Caenorhabditis elegans: one gene and its partners. The protein of the gene in region 2 purifies or fractionates together with the protein of the main gene of each other region. This does not show direct contact. Each region holds a gene or a part of one and is shown on either strand. Other genes may lie near its edges. The genes, in order: immt-1, R07E4.3 and kat-1.

Region 1 (9,707 bases), 3.3 Mb from region 2:
CACAGATCATGTGATCAGAAAAAAATTAGAATTAAAAAAAACGACTAACGATATTTTAAACGTATAGGCCCAAAATGGGGTGGTTCAAAGTGTCGAATAAATTGACTTATTTTAGCTAAAATTTCCAATTTTGAAAAAGTGGTCAAAACCAGAGACTTTAGCTAAAAATTGGCCAAAAAATTTTTTGCACATTTTGAGTTCATATGTTTTAACAATAACATTTTAAATGATAAGTTTACAGCACATTAAATCCATTGATCTACTGCAAGTACAACAAAGAGTTTCGAATACCATTCCGTGAAATGCTTGCTTGTCGCTGTGCTACTTTACAGACTGTAATGCGACAACAAAGCTTCACCAGCCGCTACGGACCTCCTGTGTGAGTTTTTCTGCGCGGTTTGGATAAAACCAAGGAGACAGAGTTTACATTCATTGAAGATTGAGTAGCGCCAGTGAAGGGATTGTTAGAAACCTCGCAAATGTTGCCAACATGGCCAAATATCATAGTAAAGCTCACAATTTTTTTCAAAAAAACTTTTTTTTTAATGGTGGTAACTACTCAGTTTTCGCCATTTTTTTTTTGGAAGTCTAAGATAAAAAAAATAGCCTACCTTAGGATCTCCGGATTCCAAAAATTAAATTGACTTTTTCCCAAAAGTTGGCGCTGAAAATTAGCTGTGTTAGGAGTATATCATAAACTTAAATTAGTTAAAAGTTTTTAGAACTGTAAAATTTTAATCAATAATAAATTGACTCCAGATTCTAAGAACATGTGCAAAGTGCAGAAACCATCCTAAAACTTATTGAAACATTTGTCATTTTTCTGAAATTTTTATACAGTAAAGAGCAATTTTCAATCATTCTTGTATACCTATCCAAAAACTGCAAACGTGAATTTTTAAAAATTAGTTTTATCACAGCAGAACGCACCATACACCCTGTTTTTTTGAAATTATTATTCAAGTTCACTATGATATTTGGTCATTTTGGAACCATCAAACTGGCGCAACTCCACTTTTAAAAGTCTCCCGTGTTAATAAGGAATGTGGGTGGGATGGTCTTTCTTACAAGCTGTTTGGGTTGAATTTCCATCAGAATTATGTTTGAAACCTAGAAAAACACCATCCGTGCCACTTTTCACAATCACACCACAACAGTCTATTGATAGAGAATCCGCGTCAAACGGCCAAACACAACACCAGGTTATTAATTTCTTTGACTCTGCGCGTTTACAGTCGCTACCGAACCCAATCTTCCAGCTATCGACCGCTTCTGTGAGTATAACCCTACTTATCCATATATCTCAACTGTTATATACTACATCACGTTTTTAACTTTTCTTTCTTCTATTCGAGTGTTACCTTTTTCTTCTTTTTAAAAGCATGGAGTTTGCGATTTTATGCGATTTTTTCTCAGTGTTGGTTTGCGATTTGCTTCCAAACATTCAACGTTTTGCATGAGTTTTACTTCTAAAGTGAAATGATTTTGATTCTTTGCACGTGACACTGTTTCAAAATTGTACGTATGATATTTTCAGATCTCGACGCAATGACAGTCACGAAGCAAGTGACGTCTAGCACACTACACATTATGTACCATTTCATAATTTATTAACTATTTTTTTCTCATCTGATTTATTCTCATTTTCAATTTGTCGGTACACAAGTAAGGTTACGTGACTTTCCTCTCCCGTTGTATAATGCTTCTCATGCTTTCTAGCATTGCAATTATGTGCATTTCAGAAGGTGTGTGACACCTATTGCCTCAACTTTGTATAAAGTTTTATAACTTCTGAATAAATGTATTGGACAGTATAACAACCTATAATTTTGGAAGTCCATCAAAACAGAAAATGTTGGTTACATATTGTTTTGAAAAGTATAGCAATTCGCCAAAACTTTGACTAGAAAAAAAATTGTTTCGGCAGTTTGAAATTACGACAAAAATGTAATTTTTTTTGTAAAATCGCAACTACATAGACGGATAAATTGTTCAAATTTGAAATTTTATTTTTTTTAAACCTCAAAAATTTTTTTGGATATCATTTAAAATATCTCATTAGTAAATTCGGTCTTTTGGATCAATTTGTTAACCACCCGATGTCTAAAAATTGTATAAAAACAAATGAATTTCCTTTTGACACCATAAGTGTGACTTTTAACAATTTCCCCAACTGCCGCAACTGCACTTCTAGAGATTCTTTATTTGTTTGTCTCAAACTTCTACAAATCATACTTATTTCTGGTAAAAAATTGTAAAATTTTCACATTTATTCAATACATCGACGGTTCGAAAAACTACACAAACTTGGAAAAAATTGACGGCGAGAGTTTGGAAAAAAAAACGGGGAGAAAATGTGCACACACCCATCTACTATAAACTACCAACAAGAAATTGGTTTCTAAAAGACACACACACAATACTACTAGCAGCAAAACGTTTTTAAAACATTTGGATCGTTTTAAATAGGGTGAGAAATAGAGAAAAATAAAATGAGTGTAGTGAAAACCAGTAGAACACAATTTTAAAAAACGGTGACGCAAGACAATCAATTGTTCTAATAAGTTGAGCGAATCGAGGAGACGGCGGCGTGAGCCACAAGAAGCTGGGCGAGAAGGCGAGACTCGAGGTAGGAGCGGGTGTCGACGATCCAGTCACGAGCAAGATGAGCTGGCTGACCCTTCAAAAGTTGAACAACGCGAATCGCCTTATCGAGATCACCATTGTGTACGTACTGCTTGGCGCGGGAAAGGATCTGAACAAAAATGTTTCACTAGTCTTACAAAACGTTTGAATTCTAATTTTAAAAAAACTTGATATTTTTTGTACGGACATCGTACGGGACTGGGAAGCTCTCGGAATAAAGAACAAGCATTTTAATAAAAATTATGAGATAAGAATTTTGATTTTTTTGATCGGAATAAGAATGTTGCCATTCGAATCAAATTTATTTTTCACAACGGGGTCATATTTATAGAGACCCGAGTTATGAAGACAAAAGCCCGATTTTTACAAACCTGACAGTTTTTAAACGTGGGTTCATTACGTTACTTAAAGCTGACATATTTTTAATGATATTTAACATGACTACTAATCAACCACGAAGTCATACGAGCGTATCTCACAATCTGGAGTATTCTTATAAAAGTACGGAATTTCTGCCGGATTCTAAAAAAAAAACAGTGGAAAACGCCAAAAGTGATCTGCTAATCTGCTGCCAAAAATCCAACCTCAAAATTTCTAAGAGTCAGGAGCAACGTGGATGGAAATATTTTTAAATTTTTTAAATGGAATCATGACCAGATTTTTATGGAATATGTGAGCTATACAATTTTATGTATCATGTTCAATCACCTAGGGGTTGCAGAGCAGAGTTGTTTACGTATCCGCATAATTATGACCCACTCTAATGTATTCTGTACTCAAATCTATCCTCACCTCATAGTTATCAGTGTTGTTCACATCAATAGCATCTAAATTTCCATACTGTTGTGGCATATCCACGAGGAACAGGGATTTGACGTACGACCAGAAATAGGCTCCTAAGGTTCCTCCGTTCTCATCGATAGAAGCAGTCTTGCGACCAATCTTGTACAGTTGCTCGAAGCGGTTTTTGAGATCCTGCTCAGTGTATGTGCCAACTGTGGTCGCTTGTTTTGGGAACGAGTCGATGATGGCGTTGACAAACTCGTCTTCTGGATTGACCTGAAAACGATAAATTCAGATTAAAATGAAAATGTAGAATAGTAACAAAATGTAAAAAAGTTGATTTCGTTGACAAACTCGCTAACCTCCTTGAGAAGATTCAAAGACTCGTTCAATGGAAGTCTTCTCTCATCAATGTTGTTTCCGGCCTTGTTACCATGTTTCAAAGTGTCAATCAAATTATGGCACGCAATCCAGAACTGCTTGGCGCGACGGTTTTCGTTGTCAAGAGCAACTCGGCTTCCGAGAGCCTCTTCGATTCCCTCCAGTCGGCTCAACGCAGCACCAACTTGCTTGCTGTGAAGATTGCGCTCTTGCAAAACTGCCTCCTCTACCTTCTGATTCTGTTCAATCTCGAAGAGTTGTCTCTGAGTCCGGATGACTTGCTCCAAGTGCTCAGAGTGAGCCGAGGCGGTGCGCTTCAATTGATTCTCCAGCTCACCTTCCCATGATGAACGGCTTTCCACAAGCTGAAATCAAAAAGTGGAATATTTGAGGAAAAACAACTTTTAACCCCAAATTTGATAACAAACTTACAGCTCGTTCGATTTCCAACTCATTCTGACGGCCAACACGGCTCATCTCAATGCTCAATTTTTCAGACGCGATCCGCTCATCGGCAAGTCGCTGCTCTTCAAGAGCCTTTGAGATGTGCAGTTCCTCGCGAACTTGCTGATCCGAAAGCTGACAACGAAGCTGGTCAACTTTGAGATGAGCGTGAGCGATCAATGCATTCAGTTCGTCTTCGTTGAGATTTTTGTCCTGAAAATGAATTTATGTGAACTTTCAAATTTGTATTTTAGGAAACAATGTCAAAAAGGCTTTTCGTTTAGTCAAAAATTTTAAACGTTTGATATTCGACTTTCAATTTGTGAAAAATAACAGAAGCCTTTCCTATCAAATCCTCAGCTGAAATATCTTCCTGAATCAGTCAGCATCTATAAAAAATTGTAAAAATTGTGATCTCAAATATATTTGTACTGTAACTATTTGTACTAAAGGTATGTTGTATTCTTCTGACTTTACCGAGAGTACATATCAACTATAAATATAATTTTTGCTTTTGACTACAAAAATTTCATAAATGCACCTTAGCAAAATCATAGGCTCATTTGAGCCTATTACAGAAATTCATTATTTTATAAAAAACCGAGGATGGACTCCATTCCTTCTATTTTTTTCGTCACTCACTTTAGCGTGAATATCAACATTTGGCAAGATGCTCTTCATCTCAAGAGCAAACTGTTGACGAGACTTCTCAATCAAATCCTTGTACTGATTGAGGACTGCAGATTCTTGACGAGACTGAAAACAATTTTGACAATTTTTGGTAAAAGTGCCAATGCATGTAATACCTTGTTGACCAATGCGTTGATCTCATCAAGCTGATGAGAAAGCTTATTAGCAGTCTCTTGAGCATTCAGAAGTAGCGGATTTGTGGCGGTAGTTGAATCTCGCTTTCCATCGTTCACAATCTGTAAATGTCCGAATTGAGAAAAATAAATAGTTATTATTAAAAATTTGCATTTAATCAAATATTAAACAAGCGTCTCTATTTTCAGTTGCATTTAATTCCTTTTCGTAAATGAGCTTGGAAGAGGTCCTTTTTACAAATTTTGAAAAAAAAACAGGGTCGAAGTATTGCAACAAGACAAAAATCATAGGACCTGTCACATAATAACTTGTGTAGCAGTTCAAAAACAGGCACTAGATAGCCGAACTTCCGCAGACCGGACGACAGATTTAGTCCGGTTTAGTCAAGTCCTAGTTTCCAATGGTCTAACGACTCTGGGTATTTTATTATGAAGGTGTAAGACCAAAATGTGCTCATTAAAAGAATTTCGCAATGAAGTTTCTCAAAAAATTTAAAAATTTTGTGTCATTGCGGTTCAAAATTTCAAACATAAATTTTTTTTTGGGTGTTAGGCTGTACCAAAAGATACCTTGCGAAGGTTATCAATGTAGTTTCTCCCGTCCACCTCTTGGCCACTGTCGACGCGTGCCTCAGCTTCGGCTCTTTGAAGAGCAGAAGTGACGTTTTCCCAGTTGGCGTGCTTAGCATCATCGACGGTTTGCTTGAGAATACTGGCATGCTCATTGATCGCATTGATGGTCTTCAGCTTGGCCTCAGTGGCTAAACGCACTTTTCCTTCAGCAGAGTGAATTGCGATTTTAAGCTTCTCCTCAAGTTCTGTAACTTTAAACTGTTATGAAAATTACGCTTAAAAAATCTTACGTTGGTTCTTGGCAAAGACGACATCTGGAGAAGGTTTTGGGATCATTGGGGTCACATCTTTGCGAACATCCACTGGGTCAACATGTGTGGGCTCTCTTGGAAGGACAGGCGGCAGTGGCGCGAGCTCCAATGGAGGAAGAACTTCCTTCTTTTTTGGGACAGCGTTCACTACAGCATCCTTGAGGTCACCGATCTGTTGTTTTGTCTTCCTGAAAAAGGATTATCGTTAAGACTGTCACTTTTTTAGTAAATAAAGCTTACTGCAAGCTAGATTCTCCCAAAACTGCGTCGAAAACTTGTTTCACTGGCGGAACAGTGGATTCGACTTTGTGACGGAACTCAGGGTCGACATACGCGTATCCGACAACACCACCAGCTCCAACAACGGTTGCTCCGACAAGAGCCAATCCTTTGCCACCTCCGGATTTTCTGAAATACGACGCGTTTTTATTATCGATTTTGGTGTATGTTTTACTTTGGTGGTTGAACTGGTGGCTTCGGTGGAGCAGCGGCTTGATTTGATTGTTGACGGGCTCTTTTCAACGTCTGGCTGACTGATCGCTTCTGAAATGAAAAAATTATACATTTAAACTAAAAATTGCATTTTTTTAATGAAAAAAAAACTCACCGATGCAATACGAAACATTTCCGCGACGAGCAGCGAATAATTTACCTAAAAAGTAATAAATTTTACAACGAAATTTTATATAAATCAAGAAAAAATCAAAATAATCAAGAGAGTGCAATCGAAAAAGAAATAAACATATTGTTTAGTGTTCGAAGATTAAGTTGCGCGTCATGCACGAGAAACGCGCCAGCAATCGATGTCTGTGTATCTTTTGTAAGTGCGTACGGGACGACGGGAAGAATGGCTGTGTGGGGAGGCATTGGAAGAGTGTGGCAGGGAAACAAAGGGAAATTGCCGATGCATTAAACGTTTGGGACATTTTGAACGCATAAACCCAAAATGAGCTCAAATAAACGAATTTTATAATGAAACTTCATTAAAAATTTTCAAAAAGTAGTTTTTGCCGGTTGAAAATTTCGAAAAAAAAACGTATTTCAAGTGAAATCTCCAATTTCGGCCATTTTTCCGTATCGCACACCTGGTCCATAAAAATTTTCCAACACTTTTAAAAGTGATTATTTAATCAAAACGCGGAATTTGGTTGTATTTTTAAGCTTAAAAAAACTTTAGTCCTAAGCCTAATATCGACAAAAAGGGTAACGTTAATTTTTCAGAATTGTAAACACTACAGAAGTACCGTAATTTTGTTAATTAAAATACATTTAAAACCGATAGGAAAAAATTATAGTATTAAAATAGCAGCTTTGGATTACTACGACTTGGAAAAGTGGCCAAATTTAAAGATATTTGAAGTGCCATAAACGTCCTAAAATTTTATGCAACATGAATTTTTACTGTTCTGTGTAACTTTTCAATTTAGAAATCAACATTTGTACGCAAAAAAGTGCAGCAAAAGTGCAGCATATAGTACCAGATATTTCCTTAAACTTCAGAAAAATGTTTGCTTTATTTGAAAACATCTTTAATATAATTCATAAAAATAAAAATAAAAAACTGCTTAGAAATTGTCTCTAATTTAATAAGAGCCGGAAAAATATCCCACAAATTATGGAAAATAATTTCCGGCAATTTTCAACTTGCATACTATTTTTGAGCATTTTTACAGTTGTTTCATATTAAATAAAACATTACTTTTAGATTAAAAAAAAAGTGTTTTTCTATATTTTATTTTTAACATTTAATAAAATATATCACTTTTTGCTCATTTTGGCTCATTTTGTAGATTTGCCGAAATTGCCGCGCACCCCTGATATGTACACTTTACCGGAAATTTTTAAAAATTGATAATGCACTAAAAAAATAGTAGAAACCATTAGAAACCAGTGTACAATTGATAAATGGTGTTTGTATCTGGGCATTTCATGTTGAAAAAAAATCGCCAAGGTCATTTGTTTGGTTAGGCCAGTGTACTTGAAATTGGTAGTGTTAGAACTTATATTTTATTTTTAAAATAATTGATTTTCAATTTCTTTTTTCATTTTTCTTCCAATTAACTCTTTCCATTCAAATAGAATTTTGAAATATACAAATTCTCAGTCACCATACACAACTTATTAAAGCGCAAGAATTTTAACATGCCCAGCAATGCTTAAGAGACGCAGAGTATATTCACCGTAGTTTGAAGCGAGGGTCTCGAAGCGATGTGGCAGTGAGAGTGGGGCTGCCTTTTCCTCGGGTTTGCACCCTCTCATCCGCCGCTATTGATTCTCTTTCTTTTCTCAATTTCCCTCGGGCTCGATGGGCTCGCTGCTTCTTTTCATTTTCGTGTTTTTTTTTCGTCAGCAGGCACATTGAATAAATATTCCGAGGCAGGGTCACAGAAAATTCTATGTCAACTTTTCTTTACTTTCTTATTTAACTCTTACTTTGTCCCATTTAGACGTTTCCAGAAAATGTTTTTCTCCAAGCTTGGATCATTATGCACTAGGATGGATTTTCGTGATGCCAATATTCCAGCCGCCTCTTTCCACACCGTTGCAGCTATTCTGGTAAGCTTTTGCACATGACTTCAATAATAGTATTCTCCAATATTTCAGGCAATTTTCGCAATGATGTCTACAGACTGGATTCTCATTGAAGATATGAGCACAAAAAACGGCACAACCGACATCGACGCTTTGCAGGTGGCTCAACTTTACATGAAGAACACAGAACCCTGTCATGCAATTGGTAAGTCTTGTTTAGCATTGCAAAAAAATAAATTGTGTAGAAGCTGAGAGCAGATGACTGTGCAAACTTTTCAAAAAACCATTTTCTTGTAATGACTTTTACATTAAAACTGAATCAAAAGCTGGTAATACAATATTGACAAAACGGAATGCGATGTTAAAATCAACACGATTAACAGTATCTTGAAAGTGAAATGATACTTCAAATTTAAACTTAATCAAAAACATTTGAAATTTTTTAAAGATGGGGTATCATAGTGAAAATGTTCTTTAGAAAAATCAAAATTGTATATGATTTTTTTTTGAAAATTGGAAAAATCTAAATTTTTGCCACTTTTTGGAAGTCGTCGATCAAAAAAAATTATTTATGGTCTATTTAAGTTTTAAATTTCAAAGGTGGAGTAGCACCAGTGTGGATTTTGTTTAAGTATACTTATGATGATTTAAAACGACCGATTAAATAATAAAACACTCCAAACAAAGTTAAGCACAGTGTTGGCAAATTGCTAAGCTTTTGGAAAAATATGAAATTTCAAAGAAATGCAGAGCAATGTCGCATGTTAGAATGTTTCAATAGATATAATTAATACAAAATAAAAGTGTGAAAGTCGTAGAAAATACATATTTTTGGTCAACTTCCAAAATTATGAGTGACGAAAATTTGTCAAAATTTTTTAAAAATCGTGTTACTTTTATTTGTGGACATTTTGACACCATACTGGCTCTACTCCACATTTAAATCAAAGATTGAATGAAACATTTGATTTGCAGGATGTCACAATTTTTGGGAAGCCGTCCGATTTGGAGGATATGTCGATGCTGCTGGAAACTCTCATGTGGCATTTCATACACCGACCCGAGTTCTCGTTGACTGCATAACACCATCAACAGCAAACTATTTCTACATTCTCATAGCTCTTTGTTTTGTAATTTCTGCAACATCATCTCTTTGTGCCACCATGAGCCTTCTCCCTCCACCAGCTCCATTTCTCGCGTGGCTCCGCAGTAA
Region 2 (5,518 bases):
CGCTTTTAAGGCGCTCATTATTCATTTTTGTCATTTCTCATGACTACTTTGGTTTTTTCTATAGTCAGAATCATTTTCTGAGATGAAATGTACCTCTCTTTTATAATTTACCAATTCTTTTCAATATGTTTCCTACATTATAAGAATAATTTTAATTGAGCAGAAAGTGTAGAGAAATAGAAAATACTAGTGAATTGGAGTATATGGGCAAAGAAAAAGTTGAGTGGTTCTTTTCTGTGCGGAATTTTATTGCTAAACTTTCAAATGATAACTGTAGATTTTTTAAAAATATATTGACACTTTTTAATGATTTCGAGATTTGATCATCGCAGAAAGTGCAGTCTGCCGAATATGTTAAAAATTGCAACTAAACAGACCAAAGAAGAGTTGTGCTTTATACTTTTCAAAAAATGTTTACTTGATAATTGACAAATTTTCGAATTGCCAAAAATGTGCTCGCTATTGCCAAAAACGCGAATTTTGAAAATTTGGTAGCTATTAAACTCTTACAAATTGTTCATATTTTCTGTTCAAATTTTCAGAGAAACCCAAAAAATAAATTTCCGATAAGTGAGTGCTACATCATATTAACCCATTGGAATACGATTGGAATAGATTAGGACATATTTAAAAAGAACACCATCCTTGCAGTGTAAGTTGGTGAAACATTTTTTCAGAGGAAAATGAAAAGTCCCACATTGTGAACATTTAAAATTGAATTCAGCAGCCAATTTCCTGAGACAGAAACTGTAAATAAATCGAAAAACCTTACAGAAGAAAGCTCGAGAATATTACGGAATTATGAATCAATTATCTGCTTTCAAAGGTTTTCACGCTTTCCGTTTAATTTGTTTTGTTCGAATCAGAAGATAACAAATCAAATATTTGGCAAAGCTGCTGTCAAAAGTATCCATAAAACAAAGACTAACAGTATTTTTTGAGCGGTATAAAAGGTTGAAAGATCAAATCGAGTTAAATTTAGATAAATGAAAGAAAAATTGACCAGCCAGCGATAATATTTTGTAACTAATTTTTCAGCTGTCTGGAAGTAGACTTTTTTTTGAATAGAAACAACAAAACAAGCAAAACGGTTGCTAGACGCAAATACATGCTCTACATATCTCTTTAGTTACCAATGTAAAAAAGTATAAATCTTCTGACAGCATAGATCAGCTTCAAAACCTGTGGTTTGCCACTTGTGGTTTGAAATCTTTTTAGGATGACAGTTTTGTTTAGAAAATATTAACTTTGACTTTTTCTAATTGCTTTTTTCTGGAGAATATTTTTTAATTTTTCCCCACGTTCCTGAAATGACTAAAAACAATAGCAAAAAATTTTTTAAGTTTGCGATTGTTTTATGTGCAGTCACGAAGTAGTGAAAATTCAGTTTGCTCTTTTATATAATTGTTTTTGAAGTCGTCCTACGGTTTACTAATTTTGTTTCGGAAAATTTGGCAACTTGCCACAATTTTGACTGAAGTTTTTGAAAAATCTAAAATGTATTCAAGTGTTTAATTATTCTACTACAAACGTTTTTGAAAGAATTATTAGAGGTTCTTGCCGATTATACTGTTTTAATGCGTACACATACTAATAATAGTCTATCTTGCATGTTTGCAATGTTTGATTTGACTATATCAAACATTAGAATACCGCATTTGATCCTTTAGTCTGGTATTTCCTTGCTTAACTTTGGCAGTTCTCCCGCCTGATTTTTTACGTATGAAAACATTATCAGCTGACAAAATAATTAGCTTTTTTTCTTGTACTGCAGTTTTAAAGTAAATCATATTTTGATATGCTTGTGTACAAAAACACATTGTGATTCTAGTAATACATTTTATTTGAGAAAAAATTCCAACGTTGATTTCAATTAATACATTGAAATAACTAATCCAACTTCTTCCACAAGTTATTCGTCGTTGGCAAAATCAGCTGGATTTTTGCGGTTTGCAGCAACATTTGTCTTCTTGGCCCAATCGTAGAGAAGATATGCACCAATAGTTTGTGGAATGTAGTAGTACCATTGATCCCAAACGTAGGTTTTGAAGGTTCTCACAAATGCCTGATCGAAGAATCCTTTATAAGCTTTTTGTTCGTTTGGAGCCAATGCAAATCTATGCTCTCCATACATTTTTCCCAAATTTCCAAAATGTTTTCCCATTGCAACGGCTGAAGGCCTCATTTTTATCTGAAATAATAAACAAATTAAGAAGTTAAAGTAAATTTCAATGGAAAAAGTATACAGCAGTTGCGACGAGCGCCTCAGTTGGTTGGTGTGCAAGGACGCTCCATTGAGAACACGCTGCGAGACCCGGCCGTATAAATGTGTGCACCTTGGAGGGTGCCTCTGTCGTTATACGTTAAGTTTCCTCATTTATTATCCAATTTTTAGATTTTTTTGCAAAGTGTGGTTTTTATTTCTTTACTTTTTAAATGCTATTTTAGAAATTGAATATTGTTCTTTCAGGAATGCCGTTTCCCAACCAAATTCACTTTTTAGTCGACGCGAGTATAAAAATGCATGCAATTATCGATTGTGATGCGACACCAATGGAGAATGCGTACATTTTTCTGCGTGAAATTTGCAAAAAAGGAGATCATCAGCCGACCTATATCGATAGAGTTCATATTGTGAGTTTTTGAAGCAATAGTTTATAAAGTTTACACTTTTTTCAGCACATTGGTGATAATTACATTGAACTGGAAGAAGGAAAAGCACTGAAGATGTTTGAGGATTCGAAAAGTATGATTTTTGAGCCATCAGATCAGAATGATTTTCTTTCGCTTTGGAAAACTGCGTTGGACGCCGATGAGGATGAAAATGCGTTATTTTTCATTGTATCCACTATTGTTAATGAAAAAGTAAGTTGTCACCACATTAAAGGTGGAGTAACGCCAGAGAGGAAATTGTGAAAAATCACTCTTTTGGTGTTGAAATAACTAAATATCATTTAAAAAAAATTTCGGCAGTGTTCGGAAAACTTCAAAAAAGCGATGAAAAGTAAGCTTTCACCAGTCTGTTTTGGAAGTTATCGATGAAAAATAATAATTTCCTTTTTTATGTTATTCATGTTGAAAATATTTATATTCCAACATTGTAGGGATTTGTGTTTCATTTCTCGAAGAGTGGCACAAGCTCGGTTGTCACCGCTTTTTGGCCAAAAATATTAATTTCCAAAATGTTTTGAAAAGTTTCAAAATTATATTCAGTCATTGTAACACCATAAAACTTTACCTTTAAATAAGAAATAAAAAAAAAACAATCATAAATTCAGATTCTCAAAATGTTCCACAAATACCACAAAAAGATGACGTTTCTCGATTTTTCTGGAATCAAACTAAATATTTCTGAACGACTCAAAAGCGATGTTCATCTGGTTGAACACGGAACTTCAAAAAAACTAGCTGCGACAATTCACAAGAAGATTACCGAGAACTACGTCACAACGGTCAATTTCGGGACTTCTTTTGGAGTAGAACTTGCACCTTGTACTGTGAGAAAAAATGTGCCCTACGAACTTACCAAAATTGACATTGTTGGCACATCAACATATCAGCCACTGGAAACGATTTCAGTTTTGACGAGAAGTTTCCTTCTTCCAATTGACAAGTGCTATGACAAAAAAGGTAACTACTGTAATATGCAAATGTTTTAATTATTTAACCTGTCCTATTTCCAGGTTCGAAAGTGAATAATGCAGTCGCATATTGTGTTTTGAAAGAGATCATTGGTGATAAGCCTGTAGCACTCCTGGAAAAAGAAGATGAAAACGATCGGAGTTCTGATACAAGCCTTGAAAAATCCAATGAAGATATCAAAAAGGAAATTGACGACATGAAGTCTGAAACAACTGCGCCAGTTGTTCCAGTGAAACCTCGAGCACCGAAAAAAAAATTTCCAAACCTTGTTCCCAACAATGAAAACGGCTACGAAGGAGACGGAGAGTCTGGTCCAATTACAGCCGAAAATGTCAAAAATGAAAAAACAAATTTGACTAAAGGAGGGAGAAAGCGAAGATTGCAAACCCTCGAACCTTCAAATGCAAAGAAAGGAAAAGACGCCAAAAATGGCGATCTACTTTCTGAAGTGAAAAACGACAAAGAAGCCGAAACCAAAGAGAATGAAGACGGAAAAGCCTCAGCAGATGGGACACCAGATCCATTGTTCCTAGTTGCATGTGCAACGGAGCGCTACACTGGGTTACGCAGACCAGTTATTCTTCGACTCCGCGAATTTGACAAAGATGACAAGACTTATTATGATGAAGAAACGCTTAAAGCAAAACTTGAAGAACATGCTGTTAAAAAACTGGAAGAAGAGAAGGACAAACTTCAATCCGCTGCCGCACCTGAAGATGACTCTCCAGCAAGTCCTCCGATGGATTGTCCAGCGTCTCCAGATATGGTTCCCGTTATCCCGCAAACTGTGAAAATCATTCCGACAGTTCCAACAATTCCACTCGAAACACAAGACGTCGATATGCGTGAACCATCAGCTCCCAAGGATGTTGATTACAGATCACAAGATGTTGATTTGCGTGTAGCAGTTCCTGTTGGTGATGTCGATCTTCGTGCTCAAGACAAGGTACAAGATTCTTTACCTGTGGAGGTAAAGAAAGAAAGCTGTATTGTCGACGATGCGGTTGTGCCGGAAGAACCACCAATGGAAGATTTGACAACGAATCAAGATCAGCCGGTTAAGTTAATTCCTTTGGAAGGTCAGACAGAGCTGAAAGCAGCAGAAATCAAGCAAGAAATGAGTGAAGAAACAGCCGCAGATGATAATCAGTCACAGGAGAATGTTTTTGATTATGGGAAATATATTCAGATCATTGTGGTAAGATTTTGAATACGATTTGGGACAGAAATTAAAGTTCGAGTAGCACCAATGGAAAAATTGTTAAAGCCAACTTCTATTGTGCTAAAGTGACCAAATATCATAATTAAAATTTTCAACACAATCTTTAAAATCTTTTATTAACACTCGAAAATGGCAATTACTGAGTTTTTTTTGTAACTTTTGGAAAATTATAGCACGGTAGCATGTTTAAGTCCTATGATGTGGGAATATTTGAAACATAAGTGGGCTATAAAGTTCAAAGGGAATTTTTTTGATCGACGGCTTCCGATAACGTAGCAAGCACTGAGTAATTGCCCCTTTTCAAAACAACAAAATTTCAAAAAAATTTTGAAAAAAAGTTTACTATGAGATTTGGTAATTTTAGCACCATAGGAGTGGTTTTTAACAATTTGTCCATTGGTGCAACTCGGCCATAAACTTAAACATTGAGCTTAAAAGTATAAATTTTAGCTCGATATGACTTGGGAAAAGTTTGAAAAGCAGATAGCTATAGTCAACGACGATGATATCTTTGAAGAGCTGACGGAGCGTGAAAAGACAGTTGTCGGCCCAGAGCCAAATCATGATTACACCAAACGTAAGTCAATGATATTCCGAAAATTAAAGTCTAATTGTTAATTATTTCTCAAAATTTCAGTGACCGGATGGTACTCA
Region 3 (6,969 bases), on a different chromosome or scaffold from region 2:
CAAAATCTGTTGATTTTAGTAAAAATCGTGAAAAAAAACGGGGGGTCCTATAGAAGTTTCACACTGGATTTTGACGTTTTTTCCAGCGCGACCTCAGTTTTTGAGATAAACTTCTGGAAAAAAATTTATATAGGTTTTTTTCAATTTAAAAACGAACGGCATTAGCAGTTTTTCGAAAAAATTTTCGGAAGTTCCTCAAACCTTCAAATTAGGGGGGGTCCTATAGAACTTTCCCACACTGTATATTCAATATATTTCTAACGTGAGCATTTCAGGTACTGCCCAATGAAGCCGTCGAGCCAGTTGTCCTTCAATGAGGATTTCAGCCGAGATTTCGAAAACCGCCGATTCCAGCGCAGTCGTTATCAATTTTACAAGCATTCCTCATTAATTCAGAAGATCTACGCATCATCCGAAGATTCTTTCTAGAAGATCCAATTTCTCAATACTTTTTTATATCGGGTCCAACTCGTTTATTTTCTACAAGCTTTCACAAACAGATAGTTTATTGAGTTACCCGTTCATAGCCTTTATTGATTCCAAATTTCCCATCTCACACTTTTCTACGGTCTATCATTTACTTTTTCTGCTAATAATGAATTATTCATACCGTATAATGGTCTCTATATTATCCACGTAACAACTTGTGCTTTTTCGTCGAATTGTCATCAATTTGTGGAAGAAAGTGGTAACTGAAAGAAAGAAGTTTCGAAAGAAATAGTTGTAGAGTTGTAGAATCACTTGTCAATTGCATTTGAATAGTTGGCGAGAGCTGCAATATCGAGAAAATGTGTAGCCAGGAAGGTATAGCTCTGAAAATAAAAATTTACAATTCGTTTTTTTGTTTTTACAAGCACATGTAACTTTAGAACCTTCTCACAAATCGCATAGGTGATGGCGATTCCTTCTTCAGTCGATGTGCTTCGTGCTAGCTCATCAAGAACTACAAGTGAGTTTTTATCGGCATACTGTACGATTGCAGCTGCATCTGACATTTCAGATGCAAATGCAGACTTATTTCTGATCAACTCGTCGTTATGACCCATTCTGGAGAAGATACGATTAAAAACTGAAATTAATTCGACGATAGAAAATAGCAAATCAAAACTTTTAGGTTACTTGGCAACGAAGCATAGTTTGCTGGAATGAAGCATCCTACCTATGCCATGATTGCTAGTTGGGCAGCTTGTTTCAGATATGTTGACTTTCCAGCCATATTTGGGCCTGTAATAATTCCGAAACGACGATCTCTTGTCAGACACTGAAATTACAGATAAAATGAAATCAATGGATTCCTATTCATTACCGTATCGTTTGTGATTGTTTTCTCGGAATCATCCCAGTCCAGGAAGATACTTTATTGAGTTACCCGTTCATAGCCTTTATTGATTCATCTCATTTCTTCACCAGGCTCGTCTTCCAACGCTGCAACATAAAGTATTCTTCATACGAGGATCGTTTGGCCCAAGCCAATTTGAAGTCAGTGCAATATAGGCGGGTCTTGCAGATCCTTCGCACCTACCACAACATCATAACTGGAAACTTCCACTACCCAAATGTGTCATCGTCGGTGAAGAAAGCTGTAACTCCAAGATACCCCTACATGCTCAGATCTGTTGGCGAAACAAACAAAGGATTCCTCAGAGCCAACCTCGCCACCTGGAACCGCCTAGCAAAGCAAATCCCGGAAAAATTAAATCGCTCTATGTTTGCTTCCCGGTTAAATTCTTCCCCCCTTAATATTCTCATTCCCCCAACTTGATCTCTCAAACTAATAATGGTTTATGGGATCATTTTATCATCCACCAATTCTTCCCTGTGATTATTTGTATACGATCTCCCCTTATATGTTTTGCCTTGAAGACGTGAATGAATGATATATCTCAAAAGAAAAATGCTTTTCCGATTTTTCCAGTATATCTCTTTTGAGATGGCTCAAAACCATTCCTGATAATGTACATATTAACCTTAATTCATTTCCCAATCAATAACACGTATGCACCATTTGAGAATAAACATTTATGTGACAAGAACCTTAACTATTTATAAATACGTAATCGAAATTTGTTGTAAAAGTGAATCAAGGAATGATGAATAGAAGACCAGAAAACATTTAGGCAAGAGGTTCATATTACAGTTTTTTGATGAGCACTGCTGTGGCTTCTCCTCCTCCGTTGCAAATTGCAGCTACACCGAGCTGTCCTGGAGCTAAAGAATATGCAAGGGAGTTGACGATTCGGAGACCAGACATTCTGAAAATTATTAAAATTAATATAGGTTTGTTCGGACTTAAAGTTTACTTTAAAATTTGTATGTTTTGTTTTTGTGTTTTAGAATGTTTTTTTGCTATCAGAATTTTCTCTGTACACATTCTAATTTTTCCGAAAACGCTCACTGAAGTTTGAATCAACAAAAAAACTTACCCAAGTGGATGCCCAATCGCTACTGCACCTCCTTTTACATTAACAACACTTGGCTCAATATTAAGTTCTTTGATGAAAGCAAGAACAGTGACGGCAAATGCTTCGTTGAGCTCCCACAATGCAATGTCTGAAACTTGGAGCCCGCTTTTTTTGAGAAGAAGACGAACGGCGTCCACTGGTGCCACGGTGAAATCAATGGGAGCTCTTCCAGCTTCAGCAAATGCCACGAGTTCAGCAAGTGGATGAGCTCCTTGTGGAAGAGCATTCTCTCCGACAACGACAGTTGCGACAGCTCCATCATTAAGCGAAGATGCATTGGCCGGTGTGATGGTTCCAGTGCCGTCACGAACGAAGACTGGTTTCAAAGAGGAAACCTAAATAAGTTTAATATTTTTGATAAACATTTTCTTTCTGCATACCTTTGACTCGATCAGTTTCTTATACTCCTCATCTTCAGTGATCACTACTTCCGATCTCGAAGTCTTAACACTAACTGGTACCACTTCTTCCGAAAACTTTTCAGAACTCCATGCATTTGAAGCTTTTTTATAACTTTCAATAGCATATGCATCTTGTTCTTCTCTAGTAATTCCATAATCTTTTACAGTCTTCTCAGCACATAATCCCATTGGACCTTTCTCTTTAATATCTTCAAGTCCATCCTTCGAGATTCCATCTGTCATCTGGATTCCTCCAAATGGAATTTCTCCTCTCGGCACGTAAAATGGAACTTGACTCATATTTTCAGTTCCAACAACAAGAATAGTGTCATAATATCCTGCTTTGATTTCCACAGCTGCTGTCACCAAGGCTTTCATCGAAGAAGAGCAAACCTTGTTCACCGTAACAGCTTGCGTTGTTACTGGAAGACCAGCCGACAAAGAGATCTGTCGGGTCACATTTTGTCCTAGACCGGCCGGAAGTACGCATCCACCAATTACTTCTTCGATTTTCTCCGGAGCAACTCCTAAAAATATTTAATATTTGTTTCAAAATTTCATTATCAGTAATTTAACCTGATCGTTCAATTGCTGCCTTTGCAGCGACCGTTCCGAGCTCAACTGCGCCAAAGTTAGCGAAAGATCCTCGGTAAGCTCCGATGGGAGTGCGAGCTCCACTCAGAATGAAAACTTTTTTATCCGACATTGCGATAGACTGTCTGAACTTTGGATTATTAGAAAAATCGCATACGAATAAAAAAAGATAACTGAAATTGGTTTGAAACCAATGAAAGAGAAGTAGATAATCAAAATAATAAATGAATCTATTTACCGGAGTTTCGATATGAGCGAAAAATACATAAATACAAGCTAATCGTGAAAAAAGGTAACAAACTTTAAACGAAAAAAGTTAAATTATAAATCTATAATTTCTGGATAACCATTCCACTTGAGCCACCACCTCCATTGCAAATGGCAGCAACTCCGATTTGGCCACTTTTGAGTGTGTGCACAAGATGAGTGATGAGGCGGGCTCCGGACATTCTGAAAGAAAAATAATCGATAACAAATTTACGATAAGAATGCGGAAAGAACGGTCAACTGATATGGCAACATACCCGATGGGGTGACCAATTGAAACAGCTCCTCCATGTGGGTTCACAAGGGATGGATCGACTCCTAGTTTTTTGATGAAAGCAAGGGGAACACATGAGAAGGCTTCATTAACTTCCCATTGAGCAACATCTGATTGCTTCACTCCTGCTCTTTCAAGAATTTTTGGGAACATCAAAGTTGGTGCTACAGCGAAATCGAGTGGGTGCGTGGCGGCATCTCCATAAGCCAAAATTCGGGCCAGAGGCTTTAAGCTTTGCTCGGAAACTGCTTCCTGTGAGGCAACAATGACAGCAGCTGCACCGTCGTTCAATGTTGAAGCATTAGCAGCAGTGATAGTTCCGTCTTAATATATTATGTTGATTTCAATTTTCACGATAAGAATAGTACAAACCTTTCTGGAAAACAGTTCTCAGCGAGGTGAACTTGTCGAAATTGACTTTTGTGAACTCTTCATCTTTATCAACAATCGTGACTCCCTTCTTTGATTTGACGTTCACTGGCACCACTTCTGGTCCGATATTTCCATTCTAAACAACATGGAATCATAAAACGCACAAAGAGCAATCAGTTGACAAACCTCCCATGCTTTAGCTGACTTTTTGTAGCTGTTGATAGCATATTCGTCTTGGTCTTTACGTGTAATTCCCATTTCTTTTGAAGTCTTCTCTCCGCAGTTTCCCATGTGAACTTTATCATAAGCATCGGTCAGTCCGTCTTTGACGATTCCATCCTGAATAAGAAAATGTGAGCATTGATTTCTTTTAAAGAAGTTTAAAGACTATTTTTAGACAATTTAATATTTTTTAGAAAAATAAATTAAACTCACAATCACTTGAAATCCACCATATGGGATCTCTCCTCTTTGAACATAAAATGGTACTTGTGACATGCTCTCCATTCCTCCGCCAATGGCAAAATCTTGATGACCGGTTTGAATTTGCTGGGCAGCAAGAATGATTGCTTTCAGCCCAGAAGAGCACACTTTATTGACGGTGGTAACAGCAACCGAAAGATCGAGTCCGGCTCCAAGAGCTGCTTGACGAGCGGGAGCTTGACCAGCATTTGCTTGACAGACTTGACCAAGGAACACCTGAAATTGAGGCATTTTAAGATTAAATCGGTAGTTTTTGGAAGTGATATAGAATTTCAGATATTACTAGTATAGAAAAATGCAAACAAAGAACACACTCGCCTCCTGAATTGAACTCGGCTTCACTGCTCCACGCTCCAATGCTGCTTTGATGGCAACCGAGGCGAGCTCTGGAGCAGTTACCGAAGAGAGAGAAGAACGAAATGATCCAATAGGTGTACGGGCGGCTCCGACGATGAAAGCATGTTTGTTTGATAGTGCAGCAGATGTGGTGATTCCGCGGCGAATTGCGTGTCCAGACGATGACAACATTCTGAAAAAAAAAAGAATTGACTCGACACAACTTGTTTTTGAAAATAAGATAAGAGAATGAAGAAATTCGTTCGGATCGAGATGAATGAGAGACAGAACAGAAGAAAGGAAAGATTATGATGGTTAAATAGAAAAGCTAGTACGGCGGTGGAGCGAAATTGCACTTTCTGTAAAAAAAAAGAAGGAAAGAGAGATATAGATTTTCTAGTCAAAAGTAGTGCTAATAAGGTTTTGTCGTTCTCATAAAAGAATTGAGATTAGTTACGTGTAGCTGTGAACTTTGGCGGTTTCGATACTCCTAGGAGCTCCTTGATTCTTTCATACAGGAGTTGCACTTGCTTTTCAAGAGTTCCCACGTGCAATTGAAAGTCAACTGTTCTTCTGTGACATCACACTGGAGACAGTAAAGAAAGAGAGTGAGAGCAATGTTCATATATCTAAGATCAAATGATGATGACAATATAAACTATCATTACACAACATTTCGATGCAAAAACGTTGAACTGTCTCTGAACTGCCATTTTCTAACACCTAAAGTGCTACAATAGGGGAGATAATCATAAATTAGATTTACAGCCTAAAAATTATGAACATCAAACGCGATTTTTAAAAGTTTGATATATATTTTAATCAACAATTCAATATTCGCCTAACAATTTTAAAATGCTCCATTTCGAATAATCAGTTTTCTTACTGATATTTTTTTAACTAAAACAAATGATTTCACAACAAATATTGCAACACTTTCCATCAGATTAAACAAGAAAACGCAACTCTGATAAGCTTTGTGCTTTATAAATAAAACAAAACAAAAATTAAATTACTAGCTTATGGTTGAATGAACTTTGGAAAGTTCTAAATTGGAGACACTACCGACACTGGAGAAATGTATTCCGTAGAAATGCTGCTTCATTCATGCGCGTTTTATCCATTGAATGCGTTAATAAAAACTTTGCTTAAAATATTGAAAATATTATTTTAAAGCTTTGAATAACTTTTTGAGTTAAATAATAAAGATAGCCTTCCAAAAACTACCATCGAATCTCTAAATTTCTTTCCTCCGTTTTCCGTTTCCTCATTAAATACAAACGCGCTCTAAAGCCAATGTCCGAACGCTACAAAATTTGGGAGGAATTGAGCATTTTAAAATGCATTTTGAGATGTTTTCAGCTCATTTTCATTTAGATTTTTCGCTTTTTGTCCATAATTCCGATACAAACTTATCTGAGACAACAATAAAAATGCGTCAAGTGTGTCTTAATTTCCCTAATCTTCAGACTGAGATATTTCGCTTTAGTTTTAGGATTTTCTAAAAACATGAGTTGAATTGTTCCGTTTTCTGCTTTATTTCCATAATTCCATGCAATTTTTCTTAAATTAATTGATTATTATTTTTCAGCCACTTTCAAGCACTGTCACAGGGCAATGAGCGAGCCAGAGGCCAAATTGAGTAAGAAGTAAGTGAGAAAAATGATGATCGTGTCTCATTCGATGTTGAGCCGATCGGCTGTTTCATTCTTGCGACGTAGGTCGTCTTCATTTTTCGGGACGTCAGTTTTTCTGAGCCAAAACACTCGGTTAGTCGACG

Evidence for each region.
Region 1: the proteins of R07E4.3 (region 2) and immt-1 fractionate together in Caenorhabditis elegans (co-fractionation; one large-scale study listed by BioGRID). This does not show direct contact.
Region 3: the proteins of R07E4.3 (region 2) and kat-1 fractionate together in Caenorhabditis elegans (co-fractionation; one large-scale study listed by BioGRID). This does not show direct contact.

Annotation. Positions count from the first base shown.
Region 1 is NC_003284.9:2,680,571-2,690,277, forward strand, and holds immt-1 (MICOS complex subunit MIC60-1), read right to left. Parts: upstream 6,615-9,707; 5' UTR 6,588-6,614; coding exon 6,570-6,587; exon of another isoform or gene 6,506-6,569; coding exon 6,417-6,505; intron 6,371-6,416; coding exon 6,203-6,370; intron 6,151-6,202; coding exon 5,942-6,150; intron 5,897-5,941; coding exon 5,649-5,896; intron 5,181-5,648; coding exon 5,061-5,180; intron 5,011-5,060; coding exon 4,897-5,010; intron 4,468-4,896; coding exon 4,243-4,467; intron 4,176-4,242; coding exon 3,792-4,175; intron 3,706-3,791; coding exon 3,439-3,705; intron 2,756-3,438; coding exon 2,558-2,755; 3' UTR 2,184-2,557; downstream 1-2,183. Other genes in the region: ser-7 (G-protein coupled receptors family 1 profile domain-containing protein), read left to right, coding at 242-379, 1,236-1,274, 1,538-1,577; T14G11.1 (Membrane-associated protein), read left to right, coding at 8,423-8,518, 8,567-8,699, 9,470-9,707.
Region 2 is NC_003284.9:5,950,125-5,955,642, reverse strand, and holds R07E4.3 (Cytochrome b-c1 complex subunit 8), read right to left. Parts: upstream 2,186-5,518; coding exon 1,913-2,185; downstream 1-1,912. Other genes in the region: R07E4.5 (VWFA domain-containing protein), read left to right, coding at 2,473-2,634, 2,680-2,865, 3,279-3,630, 3,684-4,840, 5,315-5,441, 5,502-5,518.
Region 3 is NC_003280.10:7,072,227-7,079,195, reverse strand, and holds kat-1 (Acetyl-CoA acetyltransferase homolog, mitochondrial), read right to left. Parts: upstream 5,383-6,969; 5' UTR 5,382-5,382; coding exon 5,172-5,381; intron 5,070-5,171; coding exon 4,806-5,069; intron 4,710-4,805; coding exon 4,557-4,709; intron 4,507-4,556; coding exon 4,371-4,506; intron 4,322-4,370; coding exon 3,982-4,321; intron 3,908-3,981; coding exon 3,787-3,907; 3' UTR 3,685-3,786; downstream 1-3,684. Other genes in the region: T02G5.7 (Acetyl-CoA C-acetyltransferase), read right to left, coding at 2,132-2,252, 2,424-2,797, 2,843-3,390, 3,440-3,569; kars-1 (Lysine--tRNA ligase), read left to right, coding at 6,855-6,958.